Ovis aries: one gene and its partners. Each later gene encodes a partner of the first gene's protein in a complex. Links are inferred from orthologs where the notes say so. Each region holds a gene or a part of one and is shown in the gene's direction. Other genes may lie near its edges.

What was found.
Region 2: the proteins of RBL1 (region 1) and ARID4A are in contact, whole or in part, in a crystal structure (PDB 7SMC), measured with the Homo sapiens proteins. The link is inferred for Ovis aries from reciprocal best matches to the Homo sapiens genes RBL1 and ARID4A. Residues at the interface, in NP_002886.2 of Homo sapiens: Tyr849, Ile850, Lys853, Val854, Thr860, Phe861, Gln862, Met865, Lys866, Arg869, Tyr879, Arg880, Asp929, Leu930, Ile931, Tyr934, Asn935, Val939, Ala946, Leu947; in NP_002883.3 of Homo sapiens: Leu957, Val958, Cys959, His960, Glu961, Val962, Asp963, Leu964, Asp965, Asp966, Leu967.
Region 3: the proteins of RBL1 (region 1) and E2F5 are in contact, whole or in part, in a crystal structure (PDB 5TUV), measured with the Homo sapiens proteins. The link is inferred for Ovis aries from reciprocal best matches to the Homo sapiens genes RBL1 and E2F5. Residues at the interface, in NP_002886.2 of Homo sapiens: Ser1000, Ala1001, Leu1002, Leu1003, Tyr1004, Lys1005, Phe1006, Asn1007, Ile1017, Met1020, Ile1021, Gly1024, Glu1025; in NP_001942.2 of Homo sapiens: Met162, Ile190, Ala192, Pro193, Ser194, Gly195, Thr196, Gln197, Leu198, Glu199, Val200, Pro201, Ile202, Pro203, Glu204, Met205, Tyr213, Leu217.

What each region holds. Positions count from the first base shown.
Region 1 is NC_056066.1:66,042,672-66,046,319, reverse strand, and holds part of RBL1 (retinoblastoma-like protein 1), read left to right. Parts: intron 1-1,009; coding exon 1,010-1,059; intron 1,060-1,660; coding exon 1,661-1,847; intron 1,848-2,820; coding exon 2,821-2,987; intron 2,988-3,648. UniProt on the Homo sapiens protein: Key regulator of entry into cell division. Directly involved in heterochromatin formation by maintaining overall chromatin structure and, in particular, that of constitutive heterochromatin by stabilizing histone methylation.
Region 2 is NC_056060.1:68,643,781-68,647,528, forward strand, and holds the start of ARID4A (AT-rich interactive domain-containing protein 4A), read left to right. Parts: upstream 1-1,563; 5' UTR 1,564-1,713; intron 1,714-2,110; exon of another isoform or gene 2,111-2,701; intron 2,702-2,808; 5' UTR 2,809-2,859; coding exon 2,860-2,865; intron 2,866-3,748.
Region 3 is NC_056062.1:90,394,232-90,397,979, reverse strand, and holds the start of E2F5 (transcription factor E2F5), read left to right. Parts: upstream 1-1,237; 5' UTR 1,238-1,448; coding exon 1,449-1,586; intron 1,587-3,748.

The sequences.
Region 1 (3,648 bases):
TTGCCTGAGTTATCTAGGTTTTGGCTGTTGGTGTGGCATAATTACTAGAATGTCTCCTTTTTTCACTCCAGAAGTATCCTGGTTTGAACAGTGGTTCTCTTGCCCATGGGCCACAGACCGTTTATTTGGCCTGTTTAGGGTGTTTTACGTTTTTATTTTGTTCAATTTTTAGCTTAACACATGAAGACCTTTTATGTGAAAATTTTTTAAAAATCAGAATTGGCAATATTGGTAACTACATAGGTAACGATTGTCAAGCTCAATAATGGCTACCTCTTAGGACAAGGAAGTATGCTTTCTGCCCTCTTCATTTATGTATGTTAAACCCTGACCCCTGAAAGCATTTGAGTTTACCATCCCTGATGTTTGATAATCTAAGAATAGTGTGGATACACAGACAATGTTAATAACAGTGTAATTTTCCTTTCTCACCAATTGTTGTTAGTCACTCAGTCGTGTCTGACTCTTTGTGACCCCATGTAGCCTGCCAGGCTCCTCTGTCCATGGGGATTCTCCAGGCAAGAATACTGGAGGGGGTTGCCATTTCCTTCTTCTCACCAGTAACAGTAGCTATATTCCTTTCATATCTTTTGCTTGTCTGACACATACCATCATTCAATAACTGTTAGTTTCCATTCTGTATAGACAGTCTTTAAAATTGGACAGCTTTCATCAGAATCATTTGGGGAATTTGTTAAAACTGCTGCCACAGTTCAGGCTTTGAGGTCTGTCAAGTGTGCCTTTTTAACAAGTTCCCCTACATGATTGTTATGTCATTAAAATTTGGAAACCATTGCTATGGATAGACTAACTTCAAAGTATTTTGAAATCTTGACATTAAATGTTTTTTAATATTTTATTTGCATACTAAATAGGAGTTACTGGTCTGAAAAAAAAATTTAATAATTCTGTTTTGTGTTTGTGTGTGTTAATTTAGATAAATGTAATGTTCTTGTGTGTACGTTAATATGCTTACTTACGTAATGTCACAATGACTTTTTCTTTCCAGATTTTGAAGGGCGAATGCCTTCTGGACCTTTCCAGTTTTACTGATAATAGGTAATTATCTAGCACTAAAAGTATCAGGCATATCATATACTGTCAGTAATGATTTGTTACAGTTGGTTAAGTGATATGTTGTATCAAGTTAACAGCTCCAAATTCAAATTCAGGTTTCTTCTGCATTGGTGGCATTCAGTGAGTGTTATTGTTAAGCGTTATAGTCTTAAATCTATTTTCAGAAACCATTGGCACTTAAAATATCTGCTCTCCTCAGAAACTCATAAACAGAACCAATGACTTCTGTATTTGAGTTGACATTCTTTCACTAATCAAATATTGGCAAATTTAGAATGTACTTATATTTCAAGGCCACACACAGTTGTTTCCTCAATGATTAGGCCTTAATTAGGTTCAACTAGTTTTCAGATTAAGTACAGATTCTTTTCAGTCACCTTGCAAAATAATTTATTGCCATATATGTGAATGTGAAGAATGTCCATGATCAGATAGAAACCTCAGATATTGTTAGATGGGCAGAGTTAATAAAAACTAGAAAGTCATGAGCTTTTCCATGCTCTGGAGTCAAAATATATCTTTAAGATAAATCCATTGTGTAACTTAGTTGTATCGTAGGAGCTTAAAAGAATTCTCTTTTCAGCAAAGCAGTGAACAAGGAGTACGAAGAATATGTTTTAACTGTTGGTGACTTTGATGAGAGGATCTTTTTGGGAGCAGATGCAGAAGAGGAAATTGGAACCCCTCGGAAGTTCACTGGTGACGGCCCATTAGGGAAACTGACAGCACAGGCTAATGTGGAGTGTAATCTTCAACATCACTTTGAAAAAGTAATATAACCTAGCCTGGCCTCAGTCTTGAATGGTTTTTTTCTGTGTGTGTGTGTGTGTTTCTACTAACAGCAGAAAAGTGAAGAAAGTGAAAGATGCTCAGCTGTATCTGACTCTTTGCAAACCCATGGACTATACAGTCCATGGAATTCTCTAGGCCAGAATACTGGAGTGGGTAGCCTTTCCCTTCTCCAGGGGATCTTCCCAACCCAGAGGTTGCACGCAGGTCTCCTACATTGCAGGTGAATTCTTTACAGCTGGGCCACAACGGAAGCCCAACAGCAGAAGTATCTTTCAAGTTAAATCTTAAATTTCTTCTACTAATTCATATTTCCTATGAAAACTTTAAAGAATAATTTTCAAAACTATAGCATATAGTATTTAGCTCATTTCTTGCTATTTTTCATGCTTGGATATTTTCCCAGAATGCCTGGATTTTCAGTAGACTGTGTGTCTTTGGATGTGAAGACATACTTTTTTCCTGTTTTTTTCTTTGTATCACTTTAGCTGCTGCTTTCTTGCTTTAAAATTTGCTTCCTACCATGTGCTTTTCTCAAACATCAGTCATATTACTCTGGATTTGATTGTTAATAGCCAAGGCTTAATTCTCTGCTTATGTGTTAGGTGGGTTGGAGTATAAGGTCTGCTAGAAAATTCATAGAAACCTAAGTTTTAGTCCCAGCACTTCCATTGCCTTTTGTCAGCTGTTTCCTCGCATGTAAAATGAAAATGTGCATGTTATATTTCAAATGAATTTTATGAAGATAAAATGAGATTGTAGAGAGAAAGCACTGTGAAAAAGTATTATTCAGAGATAGGATGTTATTAGCATAATATTGCTAAAAATGTGGTAGGTAACCAGAAGAGAGAGAAAAAGTAACCTACTAAACATGAATAGAGGGGATGCTATCTGTACTAAATTAGACATGTAATTTAGTGATTTTTAATGTCACATATTTTTCTTTTCTGTCAGAAAACATCATTTGCACCTTCTACCCCTCTGACAGGACGGCGATATTTAAGAGAAAAAGAAGCAGTCATTACTCCTGTTGCTTCAGCCACCCAAAGTGTAAGCCGGCTACAGAGTATTGTAGCTGGATTAAAAAATGCACCAAGTGAACAACTTATAAATATTTTTGAGTGAGTACGATATTATTTTTTCCCAAGGTTTCTTCTAATTTTAAATTAGATTCTATAGTTCATTCTGTTTTCAGTACTTCTGAATTCTGGAGATAATGGATATACATCTGACAAGTTTTACTATACCATTTAAATCACAAAGTATATTGACCTAAAATCAGGTAGAAGTACTATGAAAAATTATATATAAATTTTACTTCATATTATTATAGACTTTGAAGATTAAATGCATCTTAATGGTTATGTAGCTCTAACATTCCACTCTGGTAACACTCCTAATTTATGCATTACTGTTTTGTTTTCTTTTTTAAATGGATTCAATTTAAATGTCCATCAAATGGAAGACTGGTTACATATTGATCGTATAGCCATGAAATGGAATTTTATGCAGTTGTTGGAAAAAAAGACATATTTTTGTAGTAAAGATGATAAAATGAGGCCAGACCAGAGAAACTTATTTCCTGATACCTAATGAAATAACAGGATAATAAAAATCAGCAAACTATCAGCAACCAAATGAAGGATATTATTTCATGCTACAATTTTCCAAAGTGATGGTCAAGAAAGAAAATGAATGCTCCTAGTATGCCCCTTATGATTATACAGTGGAAGTGAGAAATAGATTTAAGGGACTAGATCTGATATATAGAGTGCCTGATAA
Region 2 (3,748 bases), on another chromosome or scaffold:
AGGATCATTTTAAGCAGCTATTCAAATCAGTGTAATTAGTTGACTCAATAAAAATACTATTAATAAGCATTACATTTCCTTAACAAATAATTCTGAAAAAACTGCTACGAGTGAAAAATTGATTCAGCTTTAGTAAAGATGTCCTCGAGTAAATTTAGTCAACGTGGATTATTGCCTATATTTTACATTTCCTTGATTATTTCAATCTTTAAAATAACTTGCCCAATAATACTTTATTCCTACCATTTCAAATGAGAGTTTTCTGAAACAGAGTACAAGATCTTGCTCATGGAGCAAAATCAATAGCTGCTCTAACAAAGTCCTATCGAGGAGGTTCTTTCATTTAATGTTTTCAGTCCCCGCAAATCCACTGCTCTTTCCTTTCGAAAAGCAGCGTGAGCCCCGTGCACTCTGGCACTCCCATTTGTCTATGGTTAGAGCAGCAGAGTCGTGCTAACAAGGGAATTCGAATTTCTCAGCACCCAAACTCAGCGTTTCCTTCTGTCTCCTCATTGCTTAACCGCGTGAGGAGCACGCGGAAACACCTTCCCACGGAGGATGGGACCAAGAACCCTCCCCTCTCCATCTTAACTGGTGAGGAACCTTCTTCAGTCGGTGGCTTTGGTCGCAGAACATGACAAGCTGCCGAAACCACTTCCAAAGGGAGGACGCACTGCTCTGAGATGAGCAGAATCCCGAAAATCCCTCACCCTCCCGAGAGGAGCCCAAACGGTCAGCCCGGAGAAGGAGACGTGCACGTCCCCTCCGCCCCTTTCTCTGAGGCCGCGGGAGACGAAGCCTCGCCCCCTCTTAGCCCGTCCCCCGCCCCCGCCCGCGACCAGCTCCCCACCCCGGCGCAGGGAGATCTCTGCTATGGCCGCCGCGCGGCCCCCTCACTTCCGGTGCCGGTGCCGCTAGAGCTGCGCCATCCCCCAGTCTACCGGACAACCACCGCTTTCAACTGACCTTTCTGAGAGATCCGGACTCTTCCGACCTTCACTAGGTGCTGTCCTGGAGGAACCGGCGGATGGTTGCCGCAGTTAAATGAATTCACGGGATATAGATTCCGCTCTCCTCTCACCAGAAACATAAAATGCGATACAGCTGCGGCCACCTCTGCCCAGACAAAATGGCGCCGAGAAGCTGGTTCAGCGCAGGCGCCTTGGAAAGACCCTGCCCCGCCCCCGTGTAAGTCCTGGCCGCAGCTCCGGGTTCGGTTTCCATGGGACACTCCACCGCCAATCCTCGTGCCGCACTGCTCTTCCTGACCCCTCAATTGACCAATCAGTGCTCAGTCGAGCACATCCGTAGTCGTATTTACCAATCATTTTTCAGGACTTGCTTACTCAATACCTGATTCTCCAGTAACGTTAGTCTTCGGAGACAGCCAATCATAAGTGGAAAATGTCCTACCTGCTGTTTTTCGCACCAATCGGTGAAGTTTCAGAGCTACATCCAATGAGGACGGCAGGTAGCGAACTCCAATCCGAAACTCTTCGGCGTCATGAGCAGCCAATAGGAGTTCGTGTAGAAGCGAGTCTGCTCAACAGCTTGTTATTTGGTGGATTGTGGCAGTAAATCGGGCGAGTGGGGAACCCGGCGCAGGAACTGCCGCCGCGGCCGGGAGTGGTGCTTCCCGGACGGGGGCCCACGGGGGTCAGCGGGGCGGAGGACTCGGGAGCTGACAGCGAGCACTTCACCCACAGTTGGTAGGTGAGAAGAAGGGAAGCGAGGGTACTGAGTGGACGAAGCGGCACTAGCAGCTGGCGCTGCTGCCCGGGGTCCCGGTGCAGTTGGAAGCTTAGGAGGTGGGGAGGGGGATGCTTGGCAAGCGGGGCGGTGAGCTCCGGTGAAGGGGCTAGTCGTGGAGCAGCGGCAGCAACTGCAAGAACAGCCTCCGCAGCAACCTCCTCGGCCGCTTCCCCAGGTTCCCCGGGAAAATGGCTGTGGGGCTGGTCGCGCCGCTAAGTTTGCTTCCGCGAGGCGAGGAGCGGACTGATTAGGGAAGCCGGCCCCCAACTCCGCGGTGCGTCCTCCCGGGTGGAGTCCGTGGCAGGACCCGAGGGGCTGGTGGCTGGTACCGCTCTGGGCTGTACAAAAAGTTGAGGCGGGCGCGGGGAGGAGGCGGCGGCTGCCGCTGTGCAGCTCCCCTCCCCTCCCACACCCTGTCCGGGCCACCTCCCCTCCTCCTCTCCGCCCCCCCCTCCTCCCAGCTCGCTCTCCCTCGCGGGTCTGCCCTCCCTCGCGCGCCTCCAGGCTGAAGGCCACGGCCCCTGCCCCATTGGGTGAAGAAGCGCTTCTCCTTCCTGACATGGTGCAGAGCGGAGGAAGGAGAGCAATGGCGCCGTGACACTCCGCTGCCGCCACCGCGGGCCCGGGGCGGGCCGAGGGGGCCGAGCGGCGGAGGCGGGGCGCGGGCCGAAGTCGGGGTATCCGGGGGGCGGCCGAGAGAAGGCTGGGCGGCCGTGCCTGCGAGGAGCCCGGAGAAGCCCAAACGGCGCTCTGCCCTTCTCCGGAGCAACCCGTCCGGGGGCACTGAGTTGAGCATTCCGGGTCAAAGTGGCTAGCGAGGCGGGGGCGCGGTGGGCCGCTGGCGAACTCCGCGGTGGAACCCGCTGCCCTTTGGCGCCGGTGGGGTTCTCGCCGCTCTCTAGGCTCCTGCGTCCTGGCTGCCCTCGGAGGGGATCTTACCCCTTCCCTGGTAAGGGTTCTGCCCCTCCCCGCTGGCGTTTGTTTACTTTCTTTACCGGGGTCGCTCCCCTCCGTTGACTGATTCTGTGCCTGTCTTTCTCCTCCCCTTGGTTATAGCGACGGAGAAGATAGCTCGTTGAGCTGGAACCCCACAGATCGCCAGTGAAAATGAAGGTAAGTGGAGTCGACGCTGCTCGGAACCTCGTGCCCTGAACACTGTCTGTCGTGAGGCTGGTGCTGTGGAATGTCATTTTTTTGGCTACTCAAAATTGATTCCTCTACTAAGCAGAGCTTTCTGAAAATGAGGACGTGTTGAATGGGTAAGAGATGATCATTGTGTCTAAATGCGGTCAGTTTGGCCCCTCTCCGAAGCAGTTAGCACTTTGGACAGGCTGCTGCAGCCTTCCCATTGTTGTCCAGTGGGCTAGTATTTTTAAACACTTCCTGTGTTGGCAGCACCCTTTGCAGAAGTAAAGCTTTTGTCCTGCTTTGGTTCTTTGGGGGATTTTTTGAATTTTTTTTCTTCCCCAGTGCCAGTGAGATTTTCTAAAGAAGGAATGTGTGTATTGTGTTAGGGACATATCATTTCTTCTGGGGATAAAGTGAAATTTTGTGGCTGGAATATACTTGAAGGTGAAGGAAAACTAAATTTTGTATATTATTATCATAACTAATAGCACTTAATTTCAGTTCAGTCCTTACAGTAAATATTTTAAACATATACCCAACCTAAAAAAAATTCTTCTGAAGACAGCTGATATTGCAGACATCCTGTGATGTTTAAAGGGAAAGGAAGGTATATCAACCTGTAGTTCTGAGGTGTTGAATATTTGCAAAAAGTATTTCTCATCAATTTGCATTATTCATAAATGCACTAACTTTAAATTTGATTTCTTACTCATTTACTGTTTCAGTGTATTGAGCTCTGAAATACAGTATTTTCCCAAACTTCCTCTCGCTTTCCTATCTCCTTGAAGTTTTGAAGTGACAGTGTACCTTCTTTAATGTTAGTTGGGAAAATAGAATGAAAAATCATTTTCTGCTTGAAAGTATTTCT
Region 3 (3,748 bases), on another chromosome or scaffold:
TACCTCATGACCTGGTCTCAACAACCAATGGTCAGCAGCCTCCACACAAGGCAGGGCCTGGCCACCAGCTGGACCAGGGACTAATCAAGCCTACCAGACTGCCCACAGTAGTCAGCCTGCCACAACAAAAGGACCCTAGCAGCCCACATCGAGGTACCCCTAGAGCGACAAGAGGGGAGAAGACTGCTGGGACTCATGGCTGTGTCTCCTACAAAAAGCTACTGCTGGGAAATATAAGCAACCTACCAAATACACAGCAATAACACATCTAGTCAAGCAAAATAAAGTGACAGAGGAACACGTTGCAAATGAAGGAACAAGATAAAACTCCAGAAAAAGAAGTGGAGATAGGCAATCTACCTGGAAAGAATTCAGGATGAATGATTTTTAAAGATGATAAAAGAACTTGGTAAAGAATGGAATTCTTTAGTGCAGAACTGGAAGTATTTAACAGCAGAGTTAGAAAATACAGATAACAAAGATGAATACAGTAACTGAAATGAAAAATACGCTTGAAGAAATCAACAGTAGACTCAATAATACAGAGGAATGGATCAGCAACCTGGAAGACAGGGTATTGGAAATCACTGATGCTAAACAGAAAGCTGGACTATAAAGAAAGCTGAGAGCGGAAGAATTGATGCTTTTGAAACGTGGTGTTGGAGAAGACTCTTGAGAGTCCCTTGGACTGCAAGGAGATCCAACTAGTCCATCCTAAAGGAGATCAGTCCTGCGTGTTCATTGGAAGGACTGATGCTGAAGCTGAAACTCCAATACTTTGGCCACCTGATGCGAAGAGCTGACTCATTTGAAAAGACCCTGATGCTGGGAAAGATTGAGGGCGGGAGGAGACGGGGACGGCAGAGGATGAGATGGTTGGATGTCATCACCCACTCAATGGACATGAGTTTGAGTAAACTCCGGGAGTTTGTGATGGACAGGAGTTGGCGTGCTGCAGTCCATGGGGGTCGCAAAGAGGCGGACACGACTGAGCCACTGAACTGAACTGGACTGAAGCCCCTTTTCCCAGTCGCGGAACCCACCTCCCGCCCCGCCCCTCCCGCTCTGCCCCCTTCTTGCCCCGCCCACCCTCCCGCCTCGTCCCTTATCGCCCCTATCGTCTCGCCCCGCCCCGCCCAGCCCTCCCCTCCCGCCTTCAGCGAAGCGCGTTTCCCAGCGCCAGCGCGCCGTGCGTCACTTCCGGCCATTTAAAGACGGGCCCCGCCCCCGGCGCGCCGGCTCGCGCTCGCACCCCGCCCCCGGTCGCAGCCCCCTCTTCACGGCCCAGGGCTTGGGGAGGGGAGGGAAGGGGTGGAGGCCTCAGGTGGGTGGGCGCCGCGCACCTGTAGCTGGCAGGAGCCCGCGACCCCTCGTGCCGCCCTCGGCGGGCGGCGACGGCCGCGGCCGCCGCGGGTCCGGCCCTGCAGGTGGCGGAGCGCGGGGACGCGATGGCGGCGGCCGAGCCCGCGAGCTGCGCGCCGCCCGGGGCCGGCAGCAGCCGGCACGAGAAGAGCCTGGGGCTGCTCACCGCCAAATTCGTGTCGCTGCTGCAGGAGGCCAAGGACGGCGTGCTGGACCTCAAGGCGGTGAGCGCGGGCCGCGGTCTCAGGAGGAGGAAGGGCGGGCCGCTGGGTGAGGGGCGCGGGGCGTGAGCAGGGGCCGCGCCGCCGACAAAGAGCCGCGGCGCCCGCGTGGCGTTCCCCTCAGCGCGCGGGGCCTGAGCCGGGGCGCCCTGGGGGTCTCCGCTGGTGCGGACTGGCGGCTATTGTAGGCGATTCCTGTGAGGGCGTCTGTCGGTTATTGAAAACACGCAAGCAGGCAAAACCCGAGTTTGCCACCTCTTCTGGATGAAACAAACAAAACGTGAACTCTACAGTCCTCCTCTTAAAATAAGAATAGTAAATAAAAGCGCCTTTCCCTCTTAAACTTATTGTCACAATCCTGGTGACTAAGAGGGATGTTTGATTTGTGAGTTAATTTGGTATCTGAAGCAAGCAAGCGAAACCGGTGTTTGCCGCCTCTTCTGAATGAAACAAAAAAGTCAACTCTTCAGTCCTCCTCTTAATAATAGTAAATAAAAACTCCTCTTTCACACTTTTCACAATCCTGATGACTGAGAGGTATGTTTGATTTGTGAGTTAATTTGGTATCTGAAGCAAGCAAACAAAACCCGAGTTTGCCACCTCTTCTGGATGAAACAAAAACGAAGTGAACTCTTCAGTCCTCCTCTTAAAATAATAATAGTAAATAAAAACACCTCTGGCTCTTACACTTCTTTTCATAACCCTGATGACTAGGGTATGTTTGATTTGCGACTTAATATGGTGTCTCATACACATGTATAAAAGTGAGACTTGCCATCACACGACGAGGGGATGTTTTATAACTTCCACCAAAAGAGATGGAAGCGCCGCGTAAACTCTCCATCACGGTTTCCCGAGACCGTGTGCTTGGTCTGTTACTACAGTTTCAGAATTTTCAAACAACAACATGCATCAAAAGCTGTTCTGTTAAACAAAGTGACTTAACCGTTCCAGGCCGGATTTGGAAGGATTCCACACCGCTGAGGAGCAAGAGAATGTGATCACTTGAATTACAATTCAGCCAGCACACCCAGTTTAAGAACTAAAGCTTTAAGAACAAAGGAAAATTTAATGAGTCAGTAAGCATCGCAGGCCTTTCCTAGTCATTACCCCTGAATCTGGTCTGACACGGGAGATTGGGCCTAGCCCCTAAGGGAGTGCTGGGACAACCTTACCTCCCTTAAAGGCTGCAGTTATCAAGACTGTGCTGAAAGGAGGCTGCAGCGTCTGAGCAGAGAGGGTCTTCTAGTTCTCCCTGACCTGAAACTCAAAAAAAAGAGGCCAACTTGATGGCCCCTGCTAGGAGCCCTCCTCTCAGGTTGCCCTGAGAGGTGAGGTGTGTTTTGGAATGTTCTCTCCATCTCCTTGGTGTAGTAGGTGTTCAGTAAGTGATTGTTGAGTTATCTGAATTGTTCTACTTTATACAAACAAGGCGTAATGCACAAATTTTGCATTTTTGGAAGTGATTTCTAGTCTTTTTTATTTGGAAGTGTTATTTCTAGAATTTTCCTACACCTTTTGGAGATTCTGGTCCTTTTCTTCCCTGTCCCCTACCCCCAGCTCTTTCTTCCATACTTCTCTCCCTCCCTAAAAGTGGTTTACAGCATATATAATAGTTATGAACTAAATTGGATTCTCTTTAAAGAATGTCACAGTAAGTCGTGAGGTCATCGATGAAAGCCAGGGATGTTACACAACACAGCTTGCAAACTGCTATTCAGGATCTAGAAATTCAGTTGTAGCCTGTGACTTCAGAGCGGAATCAGGAGAATTTGGGGTTTTCCAGATGAAACTGAGCTCTAAAGGGCTGACTGTGAGGGCTTCTACAACTTGCCTTGGAATAGGATGGAACTTTGCCCTTGCTTTTCTCTCAATTCTTTGTGTTCTTCCTGTTTCATCTGTGGTCATATTTTGCTGTCCAGAAGTCAAAAAGGCAGTGAGCGGGAAGTGGAGTTTTAATATTTCATAACAACTTTGTTTCATTCATCCTGAAACTTTCCTAAAAGTTCAAAGGTTTCTGCAGTAACAGTAGGTCTCATTATATTAATGACTTTTTACTTGTAGAGAGCAGTTTGAAAAACCAGTAATCTTTTTTACATATGTATGAATATGTTTGTAAATTTCACTTATTCACTTTTGCTTATATATGTGTAAAATCTTATATT